Linked DNA regions of Daphnia pulex. The protein of the gene in region 7 interacts with the protein of the main gene of each other region in a pairwise test. Links are inferred from orthologs where the notes say so. Each region holds a gene or a part of one and is shown on either strand. Other genes may lie near its edges. The genes, in order: 60S ribosomal protein L22-like, nuclear cap-binding protein subunit 1-like, myocyte-specific enhancer factor 2-like, LIM/homeobox protein lim-7-like, protein mothers against dpp-like, mothers against decapentaplegic homolog 3-like and homeotic protein ultrabithorax-like.

Region 1 (3,798 bases), on a different chromosome or scaffold from region 7:
ACATTAAAGCATATTATCTTCCCGAAAATGCATTGGAAAAATGGATCCAAGAACAAACGGTAATAATTTTGATTTGGTTTGAAGAGAAGTTTAGTTTGTTTCAGTATTGTTTAAAGTTAAAGCAACATAAAAATTGTATTGATCATTTTTCAGGAATATTCTCCAAGGCAGATGATGAATCTTCTCCAGTGTGTAAGTCAAGGAAGTAAAAAGATTCGTTTAAATTTGACCTCGTTTATGGAAGACTTGGACTTGAATCGTCGGTAACGTAAATGTTGCAATTAATCTTTACCGATAATACAAGTTATGTGTAATAATATCAACCAGAATTTCCGTGTCAAAAGGTTATTCCATTCCATCATTTAACTGTCACCTTATATCAGGAATTTAAAAACTCGATTGGTCTATCGCAATTATTTAACTACTTTAAAACCAACTTGAACCTTTCGAATTTAACTAGAATAATAGTGAAATTTTCCACAATAATAATTGTACAAATGTCATGGCCATCGTTTATTACCAGATAGCAAAAACGGAACAAGAGAAACAGATTATTCCTTATCGTCATCATCATCCTCTTCTTCGTTGTTAATCTAAAAACAAAAACAAATTAGTTACGTTACTGGTACTATCACTTGATATTATTCACTTACGTTGAAATATCTGAGCTCGTACGAGGTCTTTCCGTTAGCAACGACTCGCAGCCAATCACGAAGGTTGTTCTTCTTCAAATACCGCTTCGTGAGATACTTCAAATACCTAATTTAAACATAAAATACTTATTCACTGATTTACATTTACCTACTAAAAAGATCAACAATAGTCTCAGAGTAGTCCACACATCAGTTTTCAGAGACTCTAGTTCGTTAATCTTATGGATATATCATCATATCAATTACTGTAATCAAACACCAGAACAACACATACCTCTTGGAGAAAGGAACATCTGAGGAAACAATGATCTTGCTCTTGGCCAATTCAGTTTGGATGTGGGTACCCAAGTTTCCAACTTTCTTGTTCAGCTTGATGTGCTGCTTCAAGTAGGTTTCCTGTAAACAAATAAGAGATCTTGGTCTTCACTGACTCTTCTAGGGAAGGTGACCCTAACAGAAACCCATTAAGGGAATCTAGAGTCCAACCAGTTAGGGAAGGTGACCCTAACCTATTGATCATTAGTACTTTGGAACATAAGTCCCTCAGTAATAAGATTTGGATAGCTACTTACAAAATCAGCTGCATTCATGATGCCATCTTCAACTGGGTGAGTGCAGTCGATGGTAAACTTGAGGTTAAGTTTCTTTCCCTTGTAGCCTTTTCCCTTGAGTTTGACAGCCTCCAGTTTCTTGGGAGTCTCCTTCTTGGCCTTTACTGCTGCCTTCAATGGAGCAGCTTTTTTCTCAGCTTTTTTCTCTGTTGGTTTCTTAGCAGCAGCCTCTGGCTTCTTGGGAGCTGCAGCTGCCGGAGCAGCCTTCTTCTCAACAGCTGGTTTCTTCTCAGCAACTGGAGCCTTCTTTTCAGCAGGGGCATCAGCCTTTCGCTTAGCTGGGGCAGCAGCGGCAGGAGCAGCAACAGGGGCAGCTTTTTTGTCAGCAGCACCTTTCTTGGCTGGGGCAGCAGCTTCTTTCTTGGCTGCTGGAGCAGGGGCAGCAGCGCCTTTCTTGGGAGCAGCAGCAGCAGCGGGAGCTGGAGCAGCCGCTGGTTTAGCAGCAGCAGCAGCCTTGGCGGGGGCAGCCTTGGCAGGAGCAGCTTTAGCAGCAGGAGCAGCCTTAGCAGCAGGGGCAGCAGCAGCGGGGGCTGCCTTTGCTGGTGCTGCAGCCTTGGCTGGGGCTTTGGCAGCAGGAGCAGGTGCAGCTGGAGCTTTAGCTGGTGCAGCTTTGGCGGCTGGTGCAGAGGCTTTGGTAACTGGAGCTGGAGCAGGAGCTTTAGCGGTTCCTGCAGCAGCAGCCTTCACTGGAGCTGGAGCTGGGGCTGCTTTGGCAGCAGGGGCTTTCTCAGCTGGCTTCTTTGCAGCAGCAGCAGCTGGGGCAGCTTTGGCTGCAGCGGGGGCCGGGGCCTTCTTGGGATCAGCAGATGCTGGTGCTTTCTTTGCCTGTTAAAAATAAGACACATTAACTTTCAACTTTAAACATGATTTAAACATGAGGCAAATGAAACTTCAGATTAATCCATTCAACATAAAGATTCAGAGACTCTAGTTCGGTTATAATGGATGTATCATCAGTTTCCCTAAGGTACTACCCACTCACACCACGTTGACAGCGTGGTCTATTTCAATATTCAATTAACATATATGAAAAACGTTAAAAAATATCAATAACTGAGCTACTTGCATATTACTCAATACATTACTTTCGTCTTGAGACAATTACCAGTCAATTTACCACGTATTTGCTAGTTTAAAAGTACTCTTACCGGCGACATGGTGATGTTCCTGATGCAGAAGCGAGATAAGTGAAAGAGTCTGACAAAAATGAGGATAGGAAGAGAAGGTGTAAAACGAGTGCTGCCACTTATTGTTCGTTACTATTCAATCCCTAAACACATGTGCGGTAGGGACTCAATCTGATTGCGCTCCTCGGTCAGACTTCATTAGTAGTGAAGTTAGTAAAGTTATGAAAAAAGATGATAACGTAGAATTAATCGGACATTTTTTACATGAACTTTGTAGTTATTTATGATAAGAACCGTTATTCAAAACCCTACCGGAAAATAAATAGTTAATTATTTCAAAAATATAGTGTATCTGTGTAGGTTCAATAACGACAAATATATGCAGCGGATTTTCTATGTGTTGAAAAATATCTAAAAGCAGAGATAAAAGCAAAAGCGAAAAACCATTCCGTACAGTGAATGTGTGTGGTGATATAAACGAATTCTCGTAACAATTATGAACAAAGTGTGACGTGGGGTAATCTAACCTCATTAGCCTCAACTCTTACTAACTATTTAATTCGCTTTATTATTTCGTTATTTTTTATTTTACATGTACATTTGTTATTTTTCTTATTATTTTATGTGTGATACATCTTCACCTATTTTCCTATATGGCTATATGCAAGCAGCGTGACTGCGTGAGCAGATGTTTTCATGGTTCACTCACGAACATATATTACCACTAGATGTCATTTTTCAAATCGTCAAAACACCAGTAGATGGCCCGAGGTAGTCGTTTCAAGTAGCTATATCCTTGACCAAAATAAAAAATAAAAATCGTTAGGCCTCTCCTTCGGTCCTGGGTCCTTTCCGTCTTATATGGTGCACGGTAGAATGGTGATTTTGCTGCCGTTGTCCTTATGCTTATAAGTTATAACTAACTTATTAATATATAGATAAAGTTAGTGATCCTTGAAGATACTGAATCTGAAATTATTATTCTTTTTCAAGAAAGACTAACCGAAAACGAAAATAATGAAGTGAAAAATGTAAAGGGGGACGTGCATAATATAGAAGAAAGACCAGTCTAAACAATAAATTTGAGTTGTAATTGCTTTCGGTCACGCTCATCGGACGGATGGGCGGCTGTCGTAAAAAATCGCGTGGTTGAGGAAAAACGAATAGCTGTAGAGAGTAGTATAGAGCGAGAGAGTAAAAAAGAAGAACATTAAGTATATATAGTCTCATCTCGGAAACGATCAACTCCATTCGATCCGCCCTCATCGAAATAACCGGCGTAGTATATACCGCCTAGACTCTAAAGTTCAAAGTTTTACACATTTAACTTTTTTTAAACATTGATGACTGTATATGTAGAAGAGTCGCCTCGAATGTCTGTTTAAAAATATTTAACCGCATTTAGCC
Region 2 (4,092 bases), on a different chromosome or scaffold from region 7:
CAGCGGAATCTTTATCCACCAGTTCAGTGAATAACAGTAGTGTCCCATCAACAACAAATCCTGCTGTGGAGAAAAGTGTGAATGCGGGCCGTAAACGGGCCGAGAGCACACGTACAAGAGACTCAAGTACGAACAATTCTTTACCAGGTATGGCTCATGTGGTTGTTAGCATACTTCCATTCACCATTAATTTTATTATTCACTCTTCGTTTTAATCATTTCTTTTTGTATTGTAGTCAATGCAGCGGAATCTGTAGGCCTATCCACTAGTTCAACGGATGACAGTTATTGTGTGTCAAGCAATCCTGCAGGCTTAATCAATGCCGCTCATCAAGCTGATGTTCGTTCCATTCCATCCACAGTTTGCACTACGAGCCAAGTTGTGAATTGTAGCCAAGGTATACGGACGATTCGGCAAATTTGACGTTTGCCGAATTGGTTTTTGCCGAATTGGTTGACTTTGTTATTTTCCCGAATCGTACATACCAATTCGGTAAAAAGCCAATTCGGCAAAATTGTTTAAAATGCCGTTGTAAGGCCAGTGGCGCTAGCTGTGTGGGTTTCGGGTAATCAGCGCCACCACCAACACGCGAATTATACTGTCTTTCCCGAGAGATCTTTGAGCCCTTCCCGACATAAACACAAAACAAAGTGGAACCTGCTTTAACTGCCCATTCTTTTTTAGAAAACCATGGAGGGAAAATAGTTGAGTGAAAGGGAAGTTTATTATTTTAAAGGTTCCGTCGGCATACCATCGAACGGCAGTTTTCAAAAGCGCTAGTTGTTCGTCAGTCATGAAAATTAAATGACGTTTAGAACCAACTACAACTTCTCCTTTAAAAAACGAAGTGGGCATTAAGTCCATTTTGATTTGAAAAAAAAGATCAATTGGGTTTTTAGCAGTGCGCTTTGCTTTTACCCGATTTACAGCCCTAGCTAACGTTGTGGGGTTAATTGGGTTCCACAGTATTTGCCGCCAATTTACATTTGCACAGTTGCCGAATCGACTTTTGCCGAATCGGTAATTTCATAGGTGACAATTCGGCAACTTTGCCGAAACGGTTTTCGGCGATTTGCCGAAATGGTTTTTGCCGAATCGTCCGACATTCGTAGCCAATTTCACCTAAATTGAATTCAACAAATCCCATTTTTGCGTGAATTTAATTCAATTCAGCTGAATATAAACTGAATTGAATTTTTGCGCCAAATTGCGTTGCCTAAAATAAACAATTTTTACAGCTACGTTGTCAAGTTATGTAAACTATTTTCACGATCATCGAAGTTTATGATTTCATCAATAGATGGCGTCAAATTAACAGCTTCTTTAATAGCTCCATATGACAAACAGTCAAACAGGGTGGTAGTAGTTTGTCTGTCTTGTAAGCGTCGTAGACCAATTTAAAATAAAATCAAAGAATGAGTCGTAGGAAACGTGATGATGGATATGGTAAGGATTACAACTTATTGAAGAATTTGATGACATTATAAAAAGTTATTTGTTTAAAATTACAGAACATGGGTATCGTAAAAGGCGCAGAGTTGTCTCGGAGCAGGCAGAAATTGAAGACCGGTTAGAATCTCTTATTATCAGGGTTGGAGACAAAACGTCATCATCTTTAGAAAGCAATTTAGAAGGGCTTGCTTCAGTATTAGAAGCTGATTTGAACACGTACAAGAGTAAAATATTACGTATTTTGTCGGAATGCCCAATCCAAATGCCAGAGAAATGTACTATCTACAGCACATTAGTTGGTCTTCTGAATGCTAAAAACTATAATTTTGGAGGAGAGGTTTGTTTTAAAATTGTACTTTCAGTTTTTAAGATACAAGTATATCTTTTTTTAGTTTGTGGAACAAATAGTGAGAAACCTAAAAGAAGCTCTCCGTGAGGGGCAATGGGAATCTGCTCGTTTAATTGTACGTTTCATATCTGACATGGTCAACTGTCACATAGTCTCTGCCTCTTCCTTGCTACAGTTATATGACAGTTTTATTGACGCTGCCATGGAACAAGGAGTTCCTCAGGTTCGACGAGACTGGTAATTAAATTTTTGTTTTATTCTAAAGCAAGAGTAATGTAGATCACAACACTGTATCAATTTACAGGTACATGTATGCGTTGTTGACGGCGCTTCCTTGGGTTGGTCGAGAGCTTTTTGAAAAGAAAGAAAATGATCTTGAACGTATAATGGCAGCAATGGAAGGTTATCTTCGCAGAAGAAATACTGCTCATGTCGCTGCTCTTCGAGTTTGGAATTGTGAAACTCCGCACCCACAGGTCAGAAATGGCATGGCATTTTAATAATAATTGAAAAATTTCGAAAAACGTTCTTTCTAGGAAGAATACCTGGAATGTCTTTGGGCTCAAGTACGGAAATTGCGGACAGACGAGTGGCAGGAAAGACACATTTACCGTCCATATTTAGCTTTTGATTCTATCCTCTCTGAAGCTTTGCAACACAATCTCCCGGTCATTCTACCTCCGCCTCACACAGCTAGTACGCAATATCCGCTACCATGGGTTGTTTTCAGGATGTTTGATTACACTGACTGTCCAGAAGTAAGTTAAACGCTTTCAAAAGTGTGTATCGTGCGTATTTAACTCGGGACTCATTTTCAGGCTGGTCCACTTTTACCAGGAACTCATTCAGTAGAGCGTTACTTGATTGAGGAACATTTACACCAGATCATCACTCGTCATCATAACGAACGCAAGGAACTGTGAGTTTCAACTTGACAGAAACGTTTGTGCAGATAATAGTAAATTAATTTTGCTTTTCAGAGCCACCCAATTGTTGGCGTTCCCACAGAGAAATAAGATCCCTTTGGAATACATGATAGTTGAAGTTCTCTTCTCAGAACTTTTCCAAATGCCTTCCCCTCGTTACTTGGAGATTGCTTATGGTTGTACTTTGATAGAACTTTGCAAGCTTCAACCAAGTACAATGCCTCAGGTGAAAATATGATCTTACAGTAGAAACTTGAACATTTTCATTTGACTTTTTATTTCACAACCAGGTGTTAGCACAGGCTACGGAGTTGCTTTACGAAAGAATTGATACCATGAATGCCACCTGCTTTGATAGATTCGTTTCTTGGTTTTCTTACCATCTCAGTAACTTTCAATTCCGCTGGAGTTGGGATGACTGGCAGAATTGTCTTTCACTCGAAAAAGACCACCCCAAGGTAAATGTTTAAAAAAATGAAATTTTTCGAAATCTATCTAAAGGAACACTTAAATTTCAGGCAAAATTTGTTTCTGAAGTGTTCGGGAAATGTTTGAGACTCTCCTATCACAAGCGCGTGACTGAAATGGTGCCTGAATGTTACTCACCGCTGTTGCCCCCGAAACCAGAACCGTACTTTAAATACCAAATTGAAGGAGGAAATGGTTTTCCTGGGGCTGCTCAAGTCCAGACTTTGACTGAGCTCCTAAGAAAAAAGCCAACGCCTGAAGAAGTACTAGAGTTGGTCCAGCAACTACCGAATCCTCTCAAAGGTAAATATGGTGGATACAATATGTATAACTTCAAGCCATTTTGATGCAATTGTAATTAGATGACGACGGGGATATGGAGCCTTCACACAATCCTCTAGCAATTGAAGTATTTGTTCAGACTCTGCTACATTTGGGATCGAAGAGTTTTACGCATACTTTTGCAGGTCTCGCTAAATATCATTCAGTCTTCAAGGTATTTTCAACAGATTGAAATGTTATCGATAGTATAAAACGATTCAATTTTACGTTTCTGTCATAGAATATTTGTGAGAATGAAGAGGCACAGATCTGTATGCTTCGTCAAGTTTATGAGCTCTGGCAACACCACCCACAATTTTTAGGAGTGGTAGTTGATAAGATGTTAAAGACACAAATTGTTGAGTGTTGTGCCGTAGCAAATTGGATCTTTTCACGAGACATGGCACCCGAGTTCACTCGTTCGTACATTTGGGAGGTCTTGCACTTGACTATTCGCAAAATGAACAAACACGTCGTCCGTCTAGAGAAAGAGGTGGCGGATGCACGCGCTAAACTCAGAGCTGCACCATCTGATTCGGAATCATCTGATGAAGATCCATCTAGAGGTGCGAACA
Region 3 (3,987 bases), on a different chromosome or scaffold from region 7:
CCCCACCTCACGTTGACGATAACCCAAAATGAAGGTTGAACGTGAGCAAATGAGAGAAAACGCTTTATTGTACTCTTTTCATTTTGATTTCCTGCCATCCGCTTCTTTTCTTTTACCCTCAAAAAAAGAAGAGAAACCACAAACGACCTAACGGCTGAGAATTTTCGATTCGACCGACCGACCACTTATTGTTTAATATTTTTTGTTTCTTTTTCCTATTGAACGAGGAAGGGAGAGAGGGTCACTGGGTATATAATAGCAATAATAATGGTGAGTGTGGGACGATTTTCTACACGCCATTGACTGTACGCGGCAGCAAAAGGGGCTCGTGCGGGACCGTGAAAAGAAAAAAAAAACTGCTCCTAGCCGATGCAACAACAACCAAAAAATGGATGAAAAATGGCGCCAACGATTCACACACAAGAGTCAAAAGGCGGCGCCACTTTTCAGTTGGAGATACAGGTTACTGGTAGAGGAACGTGACAGTTGGCCACGCACTTTAAATCACTCGTGGAGGAACGGTTCACGCGGCGAAAAAAAAAAAAAAGGGCAAATACATAATACACAAGGAAGCAGGAGGATGCACAAGAACACGGAGCGGACGACAACACAAATTATCGATTTCTTCGCTCTAGAGACAAAAAGTCTGGGCGGCTCCTTTCAATTGCCTTTTGAAATCAAACGACGGGAGACAAGTTACATGGTTGCGCAAAAATAAAAAGGGGAAAAAACTCTCCAAAAGTTATCTTTGGGAAATGGCGACATTTTCCAACTTACAATTCGTCCCTTTTTTTCGTACTTTTCTTTCTTGTGTGTGTTTTCGTACGAGAACAAGAAAACTAGTCGAGCGAATCGTTTCGTTTTATCAAGTGCAGACGGCCATGACGCTAAAACATTGAGAGTCCATCAGCGTGTAGTGGCCAACGACTTGAACGTTGTATTTCCCTACGAAATGCTTTCGTGCACACACACACACACAGCACTCTGTGTGTGACGGATCAAACGAACGCACAAAGTGAAATAAAAAAAACTCGTTCAAAAAACAATGGAGCGGAATTGTTCGTCCGTAGGAAATTAAAAACAAAATTTTTTTGAGAAATTGTTTCTCAAGCTGCGCTAGTTTAAAAAAATATAAAACTGTGATTTTTATCTCACCTGTACTTTGGATCTTTTAATATACAGGTTTTTCTCATCTTCCCATACAAAATCATTTCGGCGTGGAACCTTGAAGCGAAAAAAGGGGGGGATCAGACAACAAAACGAGGGGGTTCAATTGAACGGAAAAGAGATGGAAGACTTTTTTTCTTTGACATTCTTCCTTTTAACAAAAAGAAAATATCCGTTTTGGTGAATACATCAAAAAGGAACTCGCATAAACCCCTTTTTTTTAACCCTCTACTTTTTTCGGGGGGGAAATGTTAAAAACAACATTTTGTATGTGCAAAAACTGCGACCCCGTAGGGTTGCAACCACCATTTTTCTTTCCGGAATGCATTTCAATAATAGCCGCTTATTTATTTTTTGAAAAGAAACATGAGGGGGTTGGTCCTCAAAGGGGTGTGGGGGTTTTTATTTTGTCTGTTGTTAGGCCCCAAAAATGGAAAGTTCATATAACACGAGGTTCAAGGTCGTTTGAATAATACACCGCCATCCCTTTCTGCGAAATTTATTTTTAAATGTACGTCTACGTACTAAAATAAAATGTGCAAGTAAGGCATTCATTAAAAATAGCCCTAATGCCCTATGCATCCATGTGCCTACCAACTGTAATATTCCCAAAGGCACCAATTGAATTACTTACAAAATTGGAAAAGAGGAAAATTGGAATATACCGAGAACGTTTCGCCGTTCTTGGCAGAGAGGCCACCCGAGGAAAGGGGGTGGGTCATTAGCATATCGATTACCAATGGTGTACAGTGAGGATACCCCGTTTCAGCAAAAAGTTTTGAACTGCAATTGCAACAGAAGATGAAGAAGAGCCTTTTTTATTTCGCCCCGAGGGCCTTCAGACGTTTTGTACCAGACTCGAGTCGATTCTGACAATGTCCGGCGAACACGATTCACGCTTCACAATGTTGTCGGTACTGTACCTCGTCACCCCGGCAACTCTCTTGCCATACCACACGAATGACTTAACAAGAAAGTCAAGGTCGACAAGATGTTGAGAGAAATGAACATTCTTATAGACACACAAGTAGGTGCTTTCTTTTTGTATAACCCAATCATCTTTCCATCTTGGGTGATTGAAATAAAAAGTGGCCTGACTGGATTAACAATCAACATTTTACACACACACACACACACACAAACTTAACATGTGCTCCCCCCCCCCTTTACACACCCAGAATTTTTTTCTACATACACCTGCTGGTTTTTAACCGATGAAACAATAACGACTTGCGTGTGATCTAGCCATCCCCAATAAAAAATCAACGTTCCAAAAAGATTGGGAAATATAGCAGTAAACTTGACTGTGTTTCTCGTGTATGTGTGTGCTGGTCAATGGACTAAATTTGTGTATGTGTGTGGCGGCCAACTCTTTCGCGTTGCTCCCGACACAGTCGTGCAAATATTCGATTGGATTTCGTGATTGACTGAAGCTTGAAAACACTTACCTTATTCGATAACTGACGGGGAGACAACACGCACTCCAAAGTGTAGAGGGTAACAAAAAACAAAAGTAAACAGCACTGTGTGTGTACGTTGTTTCACGATTAACCACAGCCCAGAATGGACAACAACACGTCTCTCTTCTCAGATCCCTTTACAACAAGTGCCAGAGACCGACTCCATTACGAGGGAGCCACCATCGTGTCTGAGCGGTGGCGCTGATGTCGTTCCTCGTCAATGGGAAATTTTTAATTTTGTTTTTATGATTCTTTTAAAATTTTATTTCATTTTGCATCGTATCGAATTTTGCAAATGAATCATTTTCCGCTGATTTGAACACTGTTTTATTACACTTTTTATCCGATTACTTTTTATTAATGTTGTGACTGCCATCTATCACTGTTACAGGAAGTTGGAATACATTTATTTACCATTATTGAATCCGAGTGATGAGAAATTTTACACGTGTACGTAATGACCCTGTTGAGGAAAAGTTTACGGTTTTTCGCTGTGCAATGTCGGAACTGTGCATCAAAATCTAGTCCAAATGTAGAGGTTGTATTTCATAAATTGAAAATGTGAGCCAATTGTATTTCATTTGTTACGTTGCACCCATAAACAGTTTACCGCCTCTACTGTTGACATCGATGGCAGAAAATTCAATCGGGACAAATGGACAAATGTCAATCCCAATATTTTGAAGTATCTCAACAGGAACTTGCACTTGAAACCTGGACATCCTCTGTGCCTTCTTAGAGAGAACATAATCTCCTTTATGTACAAATCGTTTCCAAATCACGCTGGCAATCCAATATTCTCTGTCTTCGATAGATTAAATCCTATCGTCACTACCAAACAGAATTTTGACAGGTTCAACCAACTAATATTTTTATTAATTGTCAAATTGCACTAATATATAGTGGTGATTCAGTTTGCTGATTCCTCAAGACCATCCAAGTCGAACACCCTCAGATTGCTACTACTTAAATAAGGATTTCATACTGAGGGGACACACTAGCTCTCATCAAGAAGAGCTGATTGCTAGTGGCTTAGATAGTTTCGTTGTCATGGGTGATGTGTATAGAAGAGACGAAATTGATGCCTCACATTTTCCAGTTTTCCACCAGGCTGAAGGTGTGAGACTGTTTGCCAAACACCAAGTATAGTTATTTAAAAATTTACATGGAATATAAAATAAATGTTTTACCCCCTATAGCTTCATGATATAGACAAAGAAAAAGTAGAGTTGTTCGAAGATGGAAAGCGTACTCCTCACAAGCAAGAATATCACACTGAATTAACTTCTGATAAACTCCAACATGAATTGAAAACTTGCCTCACCAAGTTAGTCCATCACTTGTTTGGCAATGGTAAGTG
Region 4 (4,093 bases), on a different chromosome or scaffold from region 7:
CAGCAGCCAGCAGCAGCTGTGCCGAAAGAGAACCCTGGGCGCATCTATCTCTTGAGCTGGAGACTGTGATGTCCGTTTGTGTGCTGAACTGATGACGCCATTGGCTCTTGTATACGCCGTCAGCCAGTTGAGCCTCTTTCTCTTTGCTGGGGCTGGCGCAACACAAACGGGCGGCCGGCGCCGAAGCTTTTACGTGTACATCACGACACTGTGTCTGCTGTCGGACGGACCGTGTTGTCGTCTACCAATGTCTATACTCTTCTTCTTCTTCTTTCCTCTTCTATTTGTGTGTGTGGTTTATAGACGCAGGAAGGCCAGCACACGAATGGTGGTAGTATATAACACACATAGGGGGTGGGTTATTTTTTTTTTTTCGCCTGACTAACAACAGCACGACATCAGCTGCATAGATGTGTGTGTGTGTGTGTGTGACACTTTATGTAACATGCAGTCTCAGCGACCAACTGGCCATTGAGGTCGTCGTTCGGTCGCGCCTGGATCAGTTCAGATAGCAGTTAATATATTTTATATGTACAGAAAAATCCATCAGCAATCATCTATTTAGCCTCGATGGCGACAGTCTTCTCTCTTTCTATAGTCTGCTTCTTTTTTGAAATTGATTGTCGATTTCAATCAAATGGAGGAGATAATAATAGGTATATTCATTGGCAAATCTCCAGACGTTTGTGTGTCTATAAATATATTATGTAGATGGCGAAATGGAATTTAGATATCGAAGGATTATTACGGGGGGGGGGGGGGGTCTGGCTATTAATAGTTTGGATTCAGTAACCTCGCGGGCGGTCGTGAATAATCCCGTCAAAGAATGGCTGACGCTGATGTGTGTTTATATGTGCATCATATAGGCCGCCTCTAGACAGTGTGTTGCCTTTATATTGATTCAATAATCCGCAAGGTTAGGTTATTTTTTTTTTCCTTTCTTCTGTATATCAATAGATAGCGGGAGGCTAAATACATTAGAAAGCACTGCATGTACACCCACACAGGGCGCACACCTATTAGGCGATTATGGTCGGGATTAAGTTGGCGCTAAATTGGAGGTGGAAAATGTGGAAGGAATGTTTAAAAAACTATTTGATTCCAGCTGAATGGCTACGAGAAATGTTTGAAATGTTTGTATGATTTAATAGTTTATTCCCTCTTCCTCTTGAATTGTAGAGAGGGGGCAGGTCGATTTTTAATTTCGATCGATATCTTATCAGATTGCTATTTAGAATATTAGTGTCGTCTGCTTCATTGTCTTTTTTGGAGGGAAACGTCGTTGTAAACATGTGGTACGTCTTCTCGTCAAATCTGGTCGAGGTTATTTATGGAATAGTTTAATACACATTCCATGCTGTTTAGCAGGTAAATTAAACTAATAATTAAAATAGAATGATTATGTGAAGTTAAATAGAAGAGTTAAACTTGTTCCAAATTGTGTGAAATATTAGTTCATGATTAGCATTAATGATGAAAGCCCTCTATCAATGCATGGCAGTTTGTTTAAACTATATTACCTTTTATTTTGTGCAGATGTGAGGCCTGAGCCAGACATTACCACAAGATATACATGTTTCGCTTGTGCTGGACATGTCATCAGCAAGTAATCTCAGTGTCATCCCTTGGGTAATGTTTTTTCGATACTTTTATCAACCTGTTACCTTTTAGATATTTTAGTGATTAATGCCTTTTATTACATGAAAACCTTCAATTCTCCTATTTATTAAAGTACGGTTTACCCATGGTCTCATTATCAACTATTCCCCATGTGAAGTTGATGTTTCTGCCAATCTTTTTCGTAACAAAATTTTTATTTTTCATTTAGATAAACAGCATCCCGTTTGGTTGGAGAAACTACCGATGCTGACCGTGTTACGGATCTCTTCTTCCTCTTTTTTAAATGTCCTCGTGTACGCCCATGCGAGTGTGGGTGTATTCACGATGGCCCCCTTTTTCCTTTTCCTCCTGTTGGTGAATTCAACTTCTCAGCGTGAATCACTTGTGGATACCTGGCTGTGGATTCCCGGACGTTAAGGTAGGACAAATGCAATTTCTATTCTTCCTTCTCTTTGCTATTTGATGGCGTTGATTCTAAATTGTTACGGAGCATAGATCATTCGTGAGCTAGGTAGTTGACTGCAACTGTTTTCTCTTGCCTTTTGTGTTGACTCAGTCAGGGTCCATTCAAATAATTCAATTGTAAAACGACTGCAGATCAGGCCCGGTTTTTCGTACCTCACAACGTTGTCTGTGGGTAGAAACAATCGAATTCATTTGAACTTTACACAATTGAAGCAAAGTGCAACCTAGAAATGTTTGATGACACGCCACACACCGGCACCCGTAACGGGGTTCTGGTTACGGGTGTGTGCATAGAGAAATGTCCCACAAATAGCACTCGGCCATGTTTGTCGGTTTATTTGACTATGAAATTGAAACGTCGTGTCTTTCCTCTTTATTTCTTTTTCAAAAGCGGCATTTTGCCAGACTTATTTGGCCCTACCCAGTCGCTCCAAAATAAAACAATAGCCAATAAACGTAAAACTCTGTTTATTACGTGGTTATATAATATCGGTGGAACGACCACCCGCCGTTTCATTCCAACATTTCAAATCATTTTTCAAATCATTTTATATTCAACGTCTATAGCTGCAGGCGAGATTCAAATGGGAGCAGGTGTGATCAATCATGAGAGCGTACTTGTGTACACGCTGAAGCCGAAAGTGTATGAACTGCTGCGAAAGCGAACCCCCCTTTTTCACCCACGCATTTATTTCCCGAAATGTTGTCTCTCCTGCCCGAACAATTGGCTAATTATCGATATAGATTCCGGCTGTATGAAGCAGCCATCCATCGAGCACTCGACAAAGTCCGTCAAAAAGAGGCGGAAGGCCCCATACACGATCCATTGTCCACACTATGCGGCGGCTGCTGCTGCGGTGGCTGCTGGATGGGAACCTATATTCGTACAGGATATAATAATCTAACCCTTTTTGATATATAGGCACATATTTTGTGCCCGTCACACACGTCCGTCCCCCCCTCCTCACTGCGTAGGTTTCAAGAGGTGAAAATGCCAAGTGAACCGGAGGGAGAGCAAAAGGATTGCGCCGAGTTTTAGTTGCGGTACATTTTCAGTTATGGGTGGGAGTTGGGGGGTGATTGGATTCGATGCGGTCGGGAAAAGAGGGACAAAACCGGTGCGGTCGCAGCACTTTTTCGATATGAATCGACAGCGGCGGTAAAAAGAATCAAACGCGTCTATAGGCGTCCTACTGATGGGGGGGACGGACAGACTCTCTTTTGCGTGGGGTGCGGAAGTGGCAGTCAACGCCGGCACGTGACTCTCGGCCGATCGGCACGCGACTCGGACGCCCGTTTCCGATCGGGCCGGCCGGCGCAAGCGCTAGGGCTTAGCTGCCTCACGGATGGGAGGAAATAGAATTCAGTTGACTGTTCTTATTGCCACCTTGTTCTCTGCCAGCATGCTAGAAATTCGACGTTGATAACTGGAACCGCCTTTTTACATATGCGCCCAATATCCATCAAAGTCACGTCGTAGGCCTTTTTGTACAGCCGTTCCAGCAGAGTCATCCAGCAGTTGCAACTCTTGTACCAAATTTCTTTTTGTATCGCGCCGTAATGGACTTGGTCGATTGTCTTGGCTGTCGTCGCCTTCGTGTTTCAAATGTGACGGTGATGGTTACGGCACGCGTTCAGCCACGGCCATTGAAGCAACACGTGACCAATCGGTTAATTAGATCCCTTTTTTTCCTTCCTAATATGCTGATGTTATTCTTCTTGATAGACTTTGACGTTGTTTATATGTCAGTTCGGTTTGATGGATGGACAGCACACTGTAGACACCACAAAGCATACGTCGTGCGGTCGGAATAGGTTTTGAGGAGGGTAAGTGGAGCTGTTTACCAGAGTCTGTCCGGCGGAGTCCTCGGAGAGATGACGGAAGGATTATTGACAGTCTCTGACCTCCTTGTGACACTTTTTCTTCTTCTATCCACACACATACATAGGCCGGCGACGTCGACACGTCTCATATTCCATACAAACTGTCGCTCTTCTTTTTTTTACT
Region 5 (4,251 bases), on a different chromosome or scaffold from region 7:
AAAGCTCTTCTCGGTGGACTATTCCAATTCGGGAAAAAAAAATGAACACATAAAACCTAATAAGATTTCGTCATTTATTAATAAAATGGTACGAGTACATAGTTAAAGAACAATTTTGAACGTCAAAGCACATAATGAATCTCTACCATTATCAAAGAATTGTCATTCACCCTCATGAAAAATCAATCAGCAAGAATGTTGTTTTAAAATTGATGTTTCCCTTTTTAAGTGGTTGGATCCCACACTTCGAATTTTCTTCAAATCCAAATGAGCAAACTCGGAGAATATGGCACATAATGTTATAATGGTGTCCCTATCCGAATAGATGAAAAACACGAAAACTTGTCGCTAAAGGAAGTTAACATAAAAAAGCAGCATCCCTTCAGTTTACATTAAAGGGAGGTGAAAGCAAAATTTACTCACAATTTAATATTGATGTGTGAATTGTTCAACAGTGAAAAATAGACTATCGGCATTGAAATATATCCGCAACAAGGCTGCCACATATCTACGTTCGTCTCACACTGACGCAGCCTTGCTTATTACCGTAGATTGTCGTTGATAAACAAAATAATTCCCATGATAAAACACGATGCAGGTTGAAAGCCTTATGAGACAGATGAAATAGGATTGTGCGGTGAGCCCATTTGAGTGAGAACTTTATCCAGCCATTGCAATGGTCCATGAAGATGAATTTCTATCCAGCATGGCGTACTTGTAACATCTTGACGGTGATATTCGGCACCCCACCCTTTGACGAACGACATCCTGAAAGGTGACAATTCATAACATGTCGATGAATGAAATACAATTTAGCGATTGTGTGCTAATAGCTACCTTATTGTGCACATTTTGGTGAGCTCATAGACTGCTTCAAAACCATGATTGACTGATTGTGACAGAAGCTGAGCAAATTCCTGGTTGTTGAATATTTTAAGGGAACATCCAGGAGGAATCTTGCATACAGTTGTGGGATGAAATCCATGATGGTGATTGCAATTACGTGACTGAACAAATATAGCAGAGTCGGATAGACATTCGGCATAAACTTCACCTCCAACGTAATACAAGTGAACACCTAATTGGAATAAAATTTATTATTATCACAGTGAAACATGGTAAATAAAGCTAGATGCTAGATACAACCTTTGCCAATATGACGGCGCGTATTTTCGATGGTTGAGTTACGATTGACATTCGAGAGTTGACCAAGACAGAAACGATCAGATTTGTTATCAGGATTTGTAAATCCATCAACAATTATTGAATGAGATTGGGCGTGGAATACTTCGCCAACTCGAGAGTTCAATTCATAATAAGCAATGCTGCACCAATATATGGGTTCTTGGTAAGCCACAGGAGCAAGGTCTCCCACTGGTCCCTGTGTTGTATCCATGGGTTCCTGGGATGAAGCATTTTCATCATGGGGACTGTAGGCTGGTGGTGGAGTTTCAGCTAAATCAAATGAAAATACACATACAAATTAATACATGCAAAAGATTCTAGTGTTGGACAAAAATGATTTAATGAATGTTTCCTCTGACCTGGTAAACTGTTGTAAGGGCTGTTTGGGGCAGGACTTGAAACATTGCTCATGGGCGACGTAGGATTGGGACTAACAGAAAGGGTACTTAATGCACTTGTCACAGGCCTCTCCATACTTTTAGTGCTTGAAGGTCCAGGTGCTTGAGTTAAGCCAACAGATTGGTTTCCAAAACCATGAGCTGAGTAAGAGACATTATGAGGCATTGCTGGTTCAGGTAGCTGTTGAAAAGGTAAAAGTGAATGTCCGGGAGCAAATTCTGAATGTCTTGGCACAAGAACAGGTGGAAGCACTGGACTTTCAACTCTTTTGTAATGATAAGGATTAATGCAAACTTCCTTTTGCTTAGAGGAAAATGGATATTCACAGATTTCTAAGGGTTTTAATTCATGATGAGATTGCAAATCAGGCCAACGCCACACACGGCAGTAGATCACATGAGGCAAACCTTTCCTGTGTGAAACCTGGAACACAATTGAGAAACATGTAACTTTTTACAATTAAAATAGCTAGAGGATGAAGAACAAATGACAAAAAGTCAGTAGATGCAAAATTTTAAGATAGCATCAAGTACTCTTTACCTGTAATCTACCATCTAAACTTCTTGGAATAGTAACACATTTACTCGGTTGTCCAGGACAACTAAGTGCTTTCTCCAACTCTTCTATGGCACCCTTCTTCTTTTTCAATTTTTTTACCAAGGAGTCAACAGCTTTTTCAGCCCATTTTTCTTCTTCATCTCCTTGTTTCCAACCAAGCAACTTTTTCACTGCTGGGCTTGTAAATGAGAAAAGGCTGTTAAGTGCAGACATCTTCTAATCTGAAATTGTAAAAAAATAAGTCATCAATCACATTAAATTTAAATTCTTTAAACCTCAATGAATCAGGATGTTCGAAGTTATTACTTGCCACTCTCCAAAATGATGTATAATTGACGCTAAATTGTTAATTGCAGGTGGTTCCAGAATCAACAGTTTACAACGTGTCAACGCCTCTCCAAATATCTGTTGAGCGCTTGCCCGCTTTTAACCTCAAGCTCTGCGCCTCTGCCTCAACCTCAAGTATACTGAAGCGAAGGCAACAATTTTAAAATGACAATCACAACAACGTATTCATACTAGTAACTGCGCGAATACTAAATTGATTTTTGTTCCAAATCTAGAAGAGATGCATTAAAAAGTTGGGAAATTTTTCATAAAGAATGGCATGACGCACTTCTGAAATTACATAAACGTAAAGTGTGGCATCGTAGCACAAAATTCGTTCGATTTTTGCTTTGATCGATTAACAACAAGAGACGTTTTTTTCTTGCTTTTTGCTTTGATAAAATGATGCTGATATAGGCCTAGTAACAACTGTTCTATACTCGATAAAAACCTAATTGCAAAAGCATTTGGAATTTTTAGTGCATTATGAACTGTATTTATAATCTTATAAAATAAAATAACGAGAGTTAAAAGACCAAAATCGATTATTTAATCGCGATAATATGTTACAACAAATTTTCAAAGTATTTTCTGGAATTTCAGATTCAGCAGCACAGGGAATCGAATGTTTTCTCAAGTCAAATTATTTAAAATATAATAAATTAAAATTAATTTATTGAGTAGTTAAGCCAAATCATTTATCTGTTCAGTCTTAATATCTTAATGGAGGTAATGGGGCTTAATTGTGTAACGACATAACGAGGGGCGGAAAAACAACAGACCCAAGAGTACCGTATTCAGTCTAGTGCTGTAACCACTAGCACAAATTATTTTCACAAAATAGCAAGGTTATGGGGAACATTCACGAAGCTCCAATTTTTAGTGACTATTAAATCTAACGTAACCCGTTATCCTTATCAGCCGCGCGCCGTTACGTATGAATCGCAAACAAAGATGCGTAAAAACCATTCCGAAGATTCAATATTTTCCCGTATGAAACGGCGAAACGCACAAGAAAAGCTACTCTACATATAGACATCCGCTAAATTACGATGTTCAAATCAACTGGGAAAATGATTAAAATCGTCCCTGTCGTTCAGCATTGATGGATTTATGGTCTAAACTTGAGATGGCTCACATTTTTTAAAAAAGAGTATAACAAAAAATAGAACTTGTTTTTAAAAAGTTGTTTTTTCCCGCGACCATTTTTAGCCAACTTTATTATTATAAACGTTTTCACTTTTCAGCCGAGCCGCCTCAATCACTTTTATCGAAATGTGAAATGTTAGTTCTGATCCTGAACCTGACTCCCTGAGACCCTGACTGAACATACTCGCTTGAGGCCTATTTATGCGTACAAAAAGTAAAAACAAGCAACCCTGCAGGCAGCAGGCTGCATGAAGTACTCCTGCAGTCCTGCATTCCGCACCCACACTTTATCCACTTCCCCTTATGTGTAGTCAGGTGTAGTGTCGTGGAGTCGTAAATTCGTGTATCGCAATAACAATCAAAGGAATAAAGGATTGCTTGACAAACGAACATTGCAAACTGGTTCATTTCACACCAATTGTTAAAATTGTAGCACATGAATTTTATCAACTTCTTTTACTCGTTGGTTTGAAAAATTTTCCTAAAATGGCGAACACTCCAAGTTTACCAGTTTCGCTGCTAATAGCTAGCAAATCTCAGTCTGTAGGTAGTGAACCTCAAAAGAAAACTCGAGAAGACTGGAGAAAGGCAAAAGAGCTAGAAGAAGCCAGGAAAGCAGGAACTGCACCAGCT
Region 6 (4,143 bases), on a different chromosome or scaffold from region 7:
TAGTGCACATTCTCGTCAACTGGTAAACAGCCTCAAAGCCTTGGCTCACTGACTGGGATAGAAGAGCGGCGAATTCTTGGTTGTTAAATATTTTTAAATTGCAACCTAAAGAAAAAGAAAACAATGATATAGCTCATTTCTATTTGATACCAAACGAACACATTTACCTGGTGGGATTTTACAAACGGTTGCTGGATGCCAACCGTAGCGCTGATTGCAGTTTGGTGACTGTACAAATATTGACGAATCGCTCAAACATTCAGCAAAAACCTCGCCACCAATGTAATAGAGACGAACTCCTTTCCCAATATGACGGCGAGTCTGCTCCACAACAGGATTACGATTCACGTTTGATAACAGCCCCAGGCAAAACCGCTCCGAGTTGCTGGGATCAGTAAAACCGTCAACGGTAATGGATGGCTGAGATGCATGAAAAGTTTCTCCCACGCGTGTGTTCAATTCATAATAGCTAATCGAACACCAAAAAGCCGGTTCGCAGTACATAACCGGTTGGGCGTCGATGGGGGGGCTGGGTGACACTCGGCTGACATCTAGATGTGAAAGGATAAGCATACATTATTACAGAATTTAGAATATGAATGAATATGAATGACTCACTCATTAAATCAGCGGGTTCTTGCGTGTCGCCATCTTCTGACATGTAACCTGGGGGAGGTGTTTCTGTTAATGGAAAAGTGCCGCCACCACCATCGCTTCCACCAATAGAAGCAGGACTAGGTGAATTCACCCCGGCGGTCGACATGATAAAGTCTGGACCGTCGGCTATCGATAACGGAAGATCATCCAACGAGAGCAGGTCTTGAATTGTGGCGACCGTGCTTGTCACAATTTGATGATTGTTATTGGTTCCTGGCGATGAAAGGTTGACACTGCTCACTCCAGTTTCCGCTTGGCGTGGTACCAAGATAGGCGGTAAAACTACACGGGAGAAATAAAGCCTTAGGTTTTTGGTTTTTGTAAATTTTTAAAAAGCAATTGGAACAGTGTCACTTGTTAGTCATATTAAATTGATGCGGGATACGAGATGTCTCACACATATCTAAACAAAATTCTAAGAAATGTCTAATAGAGTTTCATTTCTTTCAATTTATCGATGATAAAGTGAGATATGACTCACACTTAATTCAAAACAGATGTGCTTTAAAGTTGTAGCAACAAACGTTTAGTTTTACTTTACGACCGACAATTCTTTATGACTTCATTTCAGAGTAAAATTCCTGAGAACAGATAAGTATTTACAATAGGACACTTGTCACGCCCAAGGCGATGTAATATGTTTGAAGTAAATAGTAGCAAACTTTCCCAAGATTTTGTTTTTAATATTTTTTTTTTACTACTTTACTGTTTTTAGAGAGGGTAAATTTGATGAGCAATTTTCCAGCTAAACCTCATACAGTTTGATTTGAAGTACAAAGCCTGAAGCCCTATACAAATCAAGCTATGTATGTAGGTCTTCAACTTCAAAATGATTTGAATTACAACTGCTACTAACACATTATTAGAAAGTAACTTTTTACTGAAATGCAGTGAAAAACATGTTTTCTTTAAAATGATCAATCAAATCAGATCATTGAGCTTTCAAAACATAAAGAAAATAAACATCTTATTTAGAGTTGTTTGTTTAAGTTGTGTTTGCTTATTAAAAAACAAACATTGTGTAAAGTATACCTGGTGTTTCCACCCTTTGGTAGTGGTAAGGATTAACACAAACTTCGTCTCGTTTGAGCTGAAAGGCGTACTCGCAATTTTCAAGCGCATGCAATTCGTGGTGTGTCTGAAGATCTGGCCACCTCCACAGGCGACAGTAAATTACATGAGGCAGTCCTTTACGTTGGGATACTTGAAGACGGCCGTCTAAAGATCTGCAAAGATGTAATTGACTAGGTTAAATAGGTATAGATTGTTTATGTTATTTATCATGTTACATACCTTGGAATTGTAATACACTTTGTACTGGAACTTTGAGAAGTTACAGCTTTTTCCAGTTCATCTAAGCCACCACTTTTTTTAAGCTTCTTAACAAGGCTTTTGACTGCCTTTTCACTCCACTTTTCTTCACCTTCACCTTCAATAGAAAGGTTGAGGAGAAATTTGACATTTATTTAACACTTGGCAACTGATTGTGTCAGATGGATAAATGAAAGACCAATAAACAACTTGGCAACAGGAACAAAAATATGGTGTGTAAATGCTTCTACAAGAACTATTTTGATCTTTTCTTAAGTGTTGCATAATATGTTATGCTGTAGTAATCGTTAAATTCTTTGTCAAATCTCCCATACTCAAGAGTACCATTTTTACTACTTCACTAGCTGAAACTCTTTCCAACTGTGTTGAGACTAAAATGTGATTGTTTGTATCTATTTGATTCAACACTAAATACTATTTGAAAAGAACCAAAAGGTTACTGCCAAATGAGAAAAGCATACCTCGTTTCCAACCGAGCAATCGCTTTACTGGGGATGACAAGGGTATCAATGAAGTCATATTATAAGCAATACTTCACCATCACAAACTAGCCGAAACACGCATAAGCACAAAAGTCACAAAAAATCACTCGGCCAAAAGTAAACTTGAAATTCGATCTAACGAGTCACAATCATCATTGGGAGGTCAAAATCAAAATGATCGGACACGACACTCACGTTGCTGTGCTGTTGCTCTGCTAGTGCTAAGACTTCGTCAGAGAAGAAACCAAAACTACAACTTGACGGCACCCTAAGTTAATATTTGGGATCTGTTTCTCGAACATGAACGATAGGTGGCAGCACACCACATACTAACAGTGAAATATAAAGTTCGTTTCAATTTGAAATCTCATAAGAATATTTTCATTGTTACGTTATCGTTCGATTTGATATACCGTAATGACTCGGTTAGAGAAAATTAGAATGGTCCTTTATTGATTCTTCATTAAGTTGTTAGCATTAAAAGTCTAATACGTACATTTATCGCCATCTGCAGGAGGGGTTTCTAAATAAGCATTACCAAGGGCCTTTTTCATATAATGAACTAACAATTTCTTCCGTGTGCCATTCGTGTATCCATCCACAGACGTTTTCCTACGCAGACAAACTAGTTCTTAAGGATTGATCTCATGACAACAAACAGATTTAGATGCGACTGTGCTTTAAAGCGAATCAGAAACTTGCTTTTCGAATCATTTGCATACGAAAAAACAAACACAAATATTTAACAATTCGGAAAACTACGAATGAATGAATGGGAAAATACCTTAGCCGCGAGCGTGTCGACCTGAATAGCGGATTTCGGACGACGAGCCATTCAGAGTTGCAAACCAAATTTTTCACGCAAAATCGAATACCTTTATTCGACTTTGATTTTCTACTATGATGAGCAGTCGATGTAGACTGTCTAGTTAATAAAACCTATTCTAACGGTAATACACTTACCAATTCAACTAATGATTTTGTTATGTAAGTTGTTTTCATTTTAAAAAGGCGGATCCCGGTTAGTATGACATCATCGGAATACTATCCGTCGATTTCTCCGTTCTCATTACGTCAGCGATGATATAACGGGTTAAATAACAAACTAATTTTACGAATTCTTGAAGCATACATTACTTCGACCAGGAAATCACATTTAAGATTTTACATTCTTGGTTCACAACATTGAAAACTTAACGTTAATTCACTTGGTAATAGTAAGCGATCGACATCGAAGGCCACGAATGGAGAGATCATAAACCACTTCCTCGATTTTCTTCACATCATATTTAAGAGCATCAAATCTTTTGCGCAGTGAATCATTCTTCAGATTTAAGAGACGGAATCCACCTATAAAGTCGAAAAGAAAAAGTAGTAAAAGTTTATGAATCGTGGAGCGAGCAAATTATATGGTACCATTCAACTCGGAGACGAATCGCGAGATACGAATGGGCAAATCATAGTTTCCAGCAGTCACGCTATTTACTGCCAACCTAGACTGTGGAATAAATCAGAAATGAAATAAACTAATTCAAGTAATAGATTAAAAACAAGTTCAAACCAGTTCTGAAGCCAACTGTAAAAGTCCAGACAGATAATCTTCAACATCCAAATGGAAACCATCTTCCTCTTTTATGGATACTAAAAGACAAGAATAAATGCATTAAATTTG
Region 7 (4,025 bases):
CTTCTTTCTCTTCCGACTCCTTCCTCTGTTTCTTTCGACTTGGGAAATATTTATGGAGACAAGGAAACCATCCGTAGTTATATCTGCGGAACGGAACTCTCGTCTTCTGCCTTCTACTCGGCTCCCATAGCTATGGGACTCTTGTTTTTTTTTCTTTTCTATTTTCCGCGTGTCCCGGCAGCTTCACGCAGCCCTGATCACGGCCCCCGCAATTCATTATATTTTATGTATTTAGTATACGGCCTATTATTATTATGATTATGATTATTATGATTTCAGTTTGACGTTATGTATAACATTTTCCAGATAGCATATCCCCCCTCCCGACCTCACGCGCCGGATGTGAGGAACTATACAAGAAGAAGAAGAATAAACAGTGCAGTCATTGAGAGCTAGCGAGCTTCGGCGGAAATGGTAGAAATAGTAGGCCACTAGCAAGTATATATCCCAACTGTACACATGTGTAGTTATGGGCTGGCTAGGCAGTAGCTATAAGATTTCTGTATTAGATGTCGTAGAGTAGACAAACACCACCACGTCGAAGCCACCGAACTGAAGAAGAAGAAGTCGACGACGCCCAGATAATTATCATGATTATATTCGTACGCTCTGAGTATATGTAGTATATATACGTACGTATGTATATACTGGAAGCATTAACACGCATATTTCTCTGGCTGTATGTATACTACTCGAGTATATATGCACATCGCGATGTGGATATACATTTCAGTCAACATGTATTTATTTATTTGGTCATTTAAATGAGAAGGAAAAAGAAAACACGGACTGTTGGGGCCGTGTGTGGGAAATGGAACCGCCGCCGCCGCCGTTGTGTAATGTTGTTACGAAACGCGACTTGTGCGTAAAGACGGCAAGAAATTGGGCAGCCAGCAGCAGCAGCAGCAGCTCTGACTAAATTACATATTACTGATATTTCTTATGCGTATAGAGAAGTGTAGGTTTTAGTATAGCCGTCGACGTTGCTGGGCGCTCTCTTTTCACTCTACTGGAGTCATTTTTGTTTGGTTTGGTTTTTTTCTTCTTCTCTTGCGGCCGCCGCTCCACCCCGTCCGGTCCTATATAACATTCACGCGGCATACTTGGCTTGACTTTGCGCGCCGCTGTGTCTGTGTTTGTCTGTTTGTGTGTCGTCTCTTCTCTAATCTACACACGTAATTTGGGCGTCGTGAGTCGACACCAACCGAAAGTCACTGGGAGAGAAGTTGGAGAAGAAAGGAAAGACGGGCAAAAAAATAAAAAGGGATAAATACTTCGTTATGCCGACGCTGGCTTCCCAAAAAAAAAACTCGCACCAATAGTCACGAACGGAGGAAGAAGAAGAGAAAAAAACAAAAACAAAAAAAAAACATCGACCGCAGTTTGTTTTCTTCGTTATTCCCCGGGAAAAAATAAAATAAAAAGTAAAACAATCATCAATACGCGTGTGCTGGCTTGCTGCTATTACCAAGAATGATTTATCCAAGTCGGTTTTTAGTAGGCTACATGTATGCGCAGACTAGATAGTATATCCTATACGGTGACCTTTAGGCCTATTTCGGTGAGGGGGGCTCCTAATGATCTTTCGAAGCGTTTCAGCGGTTATTCTCGATACCAACAAATTGAATCAACAAATATATAGTATATCGTTAGTTGACTTTTCGAGAGAGAGAAAATGGTGAAGAATGATAGGCCTGTAATGTGTTTTGGGGTAAACAGTTGGGCACAATTCGTCACAAAGTGCTTTTTAAAAGTTTTTTATTAGCCATTTGAACCGCCGCCTTTAGCGTTAGGCCTACAACTCCTGGGAGGCTCCTTGAACATCGCCGCCGAGTCCCTTTTAACTTTTAAAAACCACCCAAAAAATGTTTTTGAAAAATTTGTAACTGTGTTGAAATCGACGATCCAACTGCTGTTTTGAGAGTCAATCTATTGGTCGGTGCCAATCGCTCGGAGTTTGGCGATAAGGTTATTCGCTAATGTATGACTAGCGCGGGAAATTATTTTTTAAAAGGAGGATAAAAAGAACTGTGAACTCACCCAGGACTTTTTGCGGCTCTTAGTTGCGTTTTCTTTTGCCGAATCTCTTGTGGAAATGAAGCGATAAAATAAGGAGAAAGAGAGAAGAAGACGGCGGCGGAGCAGGAGGAGGGAGTAGTCGCGGTTTGCGTAATCCGTTGGCGTCGGGCGTGGAAATGGCCGTCCTTCGGCGTCGTCATCGGCCCGGCACTTTCCGCTCAACCAACAGACAGGAAACTCGCAATTTTCGACTCCTCTTTCTCTCTTTCTTTCTCTCTCTCTCGACTACCTCAACAATTTTTTCTTTTCTGGAGGCCTCGAAACACAGACACACACTCACACAACACACGCACGAAAAAAGGTAACAAGGTCCGCACTTGTGGGAGCCAGACGGATGGATGGATGGATGCCGATAATGATTGCGACGAAATATTTTCGGATGTCCAACGTTGTTGTTTTTTGTTGGGTTTTTTCTAGTTGCACCTGAACGATCACCAACTCACTGACTGGGTTATATATTGAGACTAGCTATTAACTAACTACTGTGTCGTCAAGCGCTGCTGGACGGACAGCGCTCCACTGTCTGCGAGTCCATCAGATGGACGGAATGGGCAACGAAACTTTTTTTCGATCGGGTTTTGACTTTGATTTTTTTGAAGGACAATGTCTCTGTGATCGAGCTGCTCAAAACATTGTGATCGGTCAAGCCTCAGAGTCGGAACTGATGTGATTGTGAGAAGGACATGCCACGGCCGATCAAGGAGGAGTCGCTCAAGAATGTGGCGTGTCCTTTTTTCTATTTCTTCTTCCAGTTCTTCTTCTGGTGGGGAAAGTTATACAAAGATGCTGGAGATGTTATTGGGGTTATACTCCGAAGGAAATTGTTACAGCCGTTCTTTTTTTTATAACCCCCTCTTTCCAGCTAGAGAAGTTTTTACCCCCTCGTCTTCGGCTGTGTGAGTCTGTGACGGTTATATTGCGAAGAATTGGGGGGTCAGTCGGGTGTTGCGTCGGAAGAAAAACGGGTGATATCGGGGGGGACCTCTTGCATAGCCACACGGATAGGATAGATGTATATATACGTGTATAAAAGGGTCGAAGGACACACAGAGTCAAAGAAGGGATATGCATTTTTTACGACTCTTTGGCTTCTTTGCTCTTCTCCGCGTTTTATTGGGAAGAGGAGGATGCCCACCCCAAATAAAAATTGGCCAGGGCCTATATGGTGTGTGTGTGTATGCGCACTATGTGTGTGTGTGTATGTGCCGGTTGCGCCCAACCCATGGTTGTTTTTTCGGGGGGAGACCCAAGAGAAAAGAGATAAGGGTTACGTTTTAGAGCAGTTATCCGCCGCCAAGACTGTCCCTTTTCTTTCCTTCTTCTTCTTCTTCTTGCCTTCAATTTTTATGTTCCATCCTTCTCTTCTTTTTGGGGTTATATATATCCAGCGCAATACACAAGAAAGAAAAAAGGTTTCTTTCCCAATAACAGGAGAGATTGTATAACTCTTAAGGGAAGGCCCATAGGAATCCAATATATGAATATACCACCACCACTCTCTCTCTCGCTCTCTTGGTAGATTTTATACAAGGGGTTATATTGGTGGGGATCCGCTATCCAGCCCCCCCTTTTTTCAAACTCTTGTCGCTTTTCTAGGCCTAAAATATAAGACACGTAGTATTAAGCTTACACACAAAGTCTGCTGGATGTGTCGTCCCCCCTATTTTTTTTTACAACTTGGATTCGGCCTTCGAATACAGCCGGAGAGAGAGTTAAGAATTTGAGTTGAAACATTTTGGGAGGCCTACATAACCCGCACTGGTTATGTTTTATTTGATTTTTTTCAGTGCAGCAACTTTAATTTGAGGGGGAAGGAAAAACAAAATAATAAATATAGAAAGTAATCTATGACTCCTTGTATTTTCTCTTTTTTTTACAATTGCATCTTGTCATGCCAAAAGAAAATTCAAGACAATTACAAGTTACAATTGCTATCGCTGTATTTT

The links.
Region 1: the proteins of homeotic protein ultrabithorax-like (region 7) and 60S ribosomal protein L22-like interact in a two-hybrid assay, tested with the Drosophila melanogaster proteins (2 studies listed by BioGRID). The link is inferred for Daphnia pulex from reciprocal best matches to the Drosophila melanogaster genes Ubx and RpL22.
Region 2: the proteins of homeotic protein ultrabithorax-like (region 7) and nuclear cap-binding protein subunit 1-like interact in binary tests that used the Drosophila melanogaster proteins (3 or more experiments, as listed by UniProt). The link is inferred for Daphnia pulex from reciprocal best matches to the Drosophila melanogaster genes Ubx and Cbp80.
Region 3: the proteins of homeotic protein ultrabithorax-like (region 7) and myocyte-specific enhancer factor 2-like interact in a protein complementation assay, tested with the Drosophila melanogaster proteins (2 studies listed by BioGRID). The link is inferred for Daphnia pulex from reciprocal best matches to the Drosophila melanogaster genes Ubx and Mef2.
Region 4: the proteins of homeotic protein ultrabithorax-like (region 7) and LIM/homeobox protein lim-7-like interact in a protein complementation assay, tested with the Drosophila melanogaster proteins (2 studies listed by BioGRID). The link is inferred for Daphnia pulex from reciprocal best matches to the Drosophila melanogaster genes Ubx and tup.
Region 5: the proteins of homeotic protein ultrabithorax-like (region 7) and protein mothers against dpp-like interact in a protein complementation assay, tested with the Drosophila melanogaster proteins (2 studies listed by BioGRID). The link is inferred for Daphnia pulex from reciprocal best matches to the Drosophila melanogaster genes Ubx and Mad.
Region 6: the proteins of homeotic protein ultrabithorax-like (region 7) and mothers against decapentaplegic homolog 3-like interact in a two-hybrid assay, tested with the Drosophila melanogaster proteins (2 studies listed by BioGRID, with this or other methods). The link is inferred for Daphnia pulex from reciprocal best matches to the Drosophila melanogaster genes Ubx and Smox.

The regions. Positions count from the first base shown.
Region 1 is NC_060017.1:3,719,769-3,723,566, reverse strand, and holds 60S ribosomal protein L22-like, read right to left. Parts: upstream 2,565-3,798; 5' UTR 2,422-2,564; coding exon 2,413-2,421; intron 2,090-2,412; coding exon 1,226-2,089; intron 1,163-1,225; coding exon of another isoform or gene 1,118-1,162; exon of another isoform or gene 1,050-1,117; coding exon 928-1,049; intron 760-927; coding exon 654-759; intron 594-653; coding exon 552-593; 3' UTR 501-551; downstream 1-500. Other genes in the region: syndetin-like, read left to right, coding at 1-59, 154-267.
Region 2 is NC_060022.1:6,378,315-6,382,406, reverse strand, and holds the start of nuclear cap-binding protein subunit 1-like, read left to right. Parts: upstream 1-1,292; 5' UTR 1,293-1,416; coding exon 1,417-1,447; intron 1,448-1,512; coding exon 1,513-1,790; intron 1,791-1,845; coding exon 1,846-2,039; intron 2,040-2,106; coding exon 2,107-2,278; intron 2,279-2,338; coding exon 2,339-2,560; intron 2,561-2,620; coding exon 2,621-2,721; intron 2,722-2,782; coding exon 2,783-2,954; intron 2,955-3,018; coding exon 3,019-3,186; intron 3,187-3,246; coding exon 3,247-3,499; intron 3,500-3,558; coding exon 3,559-3,692; intron 3,693-3,758; coding exon 3,759-4,083; intron 4,084-4,092. Other genes in the region: uncharacterized protein LOC124196162, read left to right, coding at 1-147, 237-424. UniProt on the Drosophila melanogaster protein: Component of the cap-binding complex (CBC), which binds cotranscriptionally to the 5'-cap of pre-mRNAs and is involved in various processes such as pre-mRNA splicing and RNA-mediated gene silencing (RNAi).
Region 3 is NC_060017.1:4,807,588-4,811,574, reverse strand, and holds the start of myocyte-specific enhancer factor 2-like, read right to left. Parts: upstream 2,801-3,987; 5' UTR 2,616-2,800; intron 1-2,615. Other genes in the region: phenylalanine--tRNA ligase, mitochondrial-like, read left to right, coding at 3,085-3,165, 3,233-3,480, 3,542-3,770, 3,827-3,980. UniProt on the Drosophila melanogaster protein: Transcription factor that could be a key player in early mesoderm differentiation and may be required for subsequent cell fate specifications within the somatic and visceral/heart mesodermal layers.
Region 4 is NC_060022.1:3,726,770-3,730,862, reverse strand, and holds the start of LIM/homeobox protein lim-7-like, read left to right. Parts: upstream 1-1,293; 5' UTR 1,294-1,368; intron 1,369-1,536; 5' UTR 1,537-1,629; intron 1,630-1,828; 5' UTR 1,829-2,038; intron 2,039-4,093.
Region 5 is NC_060025.1:5,190,921-5,195,171, reverse strand, and holds protein mothers against dpp-like, read right to left. Parts: upstream 2,801-4,251; 5' UTR 2,449-2,800; exon of another isoform or gene 2,418-2,448; intron 2,364-2,417; 5' UTR 2,356-2,363; coding exon 2,125-2,355; intron 2,008-2,124; coding exon 1,545-2,007; intron 1,456-1,544; coding exon 1,147-1,455; intron 1,079-1,146; coding exon 838-1,078; intron 769-837; coding exon 609-768; 3' UTR 61-608; downstream 1-60. Other genes in the region: pre-mRNA-splicing factor SLU7-like, read left to right, coding at 4,105-4,251.
Region 6 is NC_060021.1:6,119,682-6,123,824, forward strand, and holds the start of mothers against decapentaplegic homolog 3-like, read right to left. Parts: upstream 2,801-4,143; 5' UTR 2,509-2,800; coding exon 2,451-2,508; intron 2,087-2,450; coding exon 1,951-2,086; intron 1,884-1,950; coding exon 1,690-1,883; intron 940-1,689; coding exon 619-939; intron 552-618; coding exon 168-551; intron 106-167; coding exon 1-105. Other genes in the region: translin-like, read right to left, coding at 3,676-3,821, 3,888-3,969, 4,033-4,112.
Region 7 is NC_060024.1:12,335,213-12,339,237, reverse strand, and holds the start of homeotic protein ultrabithorax-like, read right to left. Parts: upstream 2,801-4,025; 5' UTR 2,041-2,800; intron 1-2,040. UniProt on the Drosophila melanogaster protein: Sequence-specific transcription factor which is part of a developmental regulatory system that provides cells with specific positional identities on the anterior-posterior axis. Binds the consensus region 5'-TTAAT[GT][GA]-3'.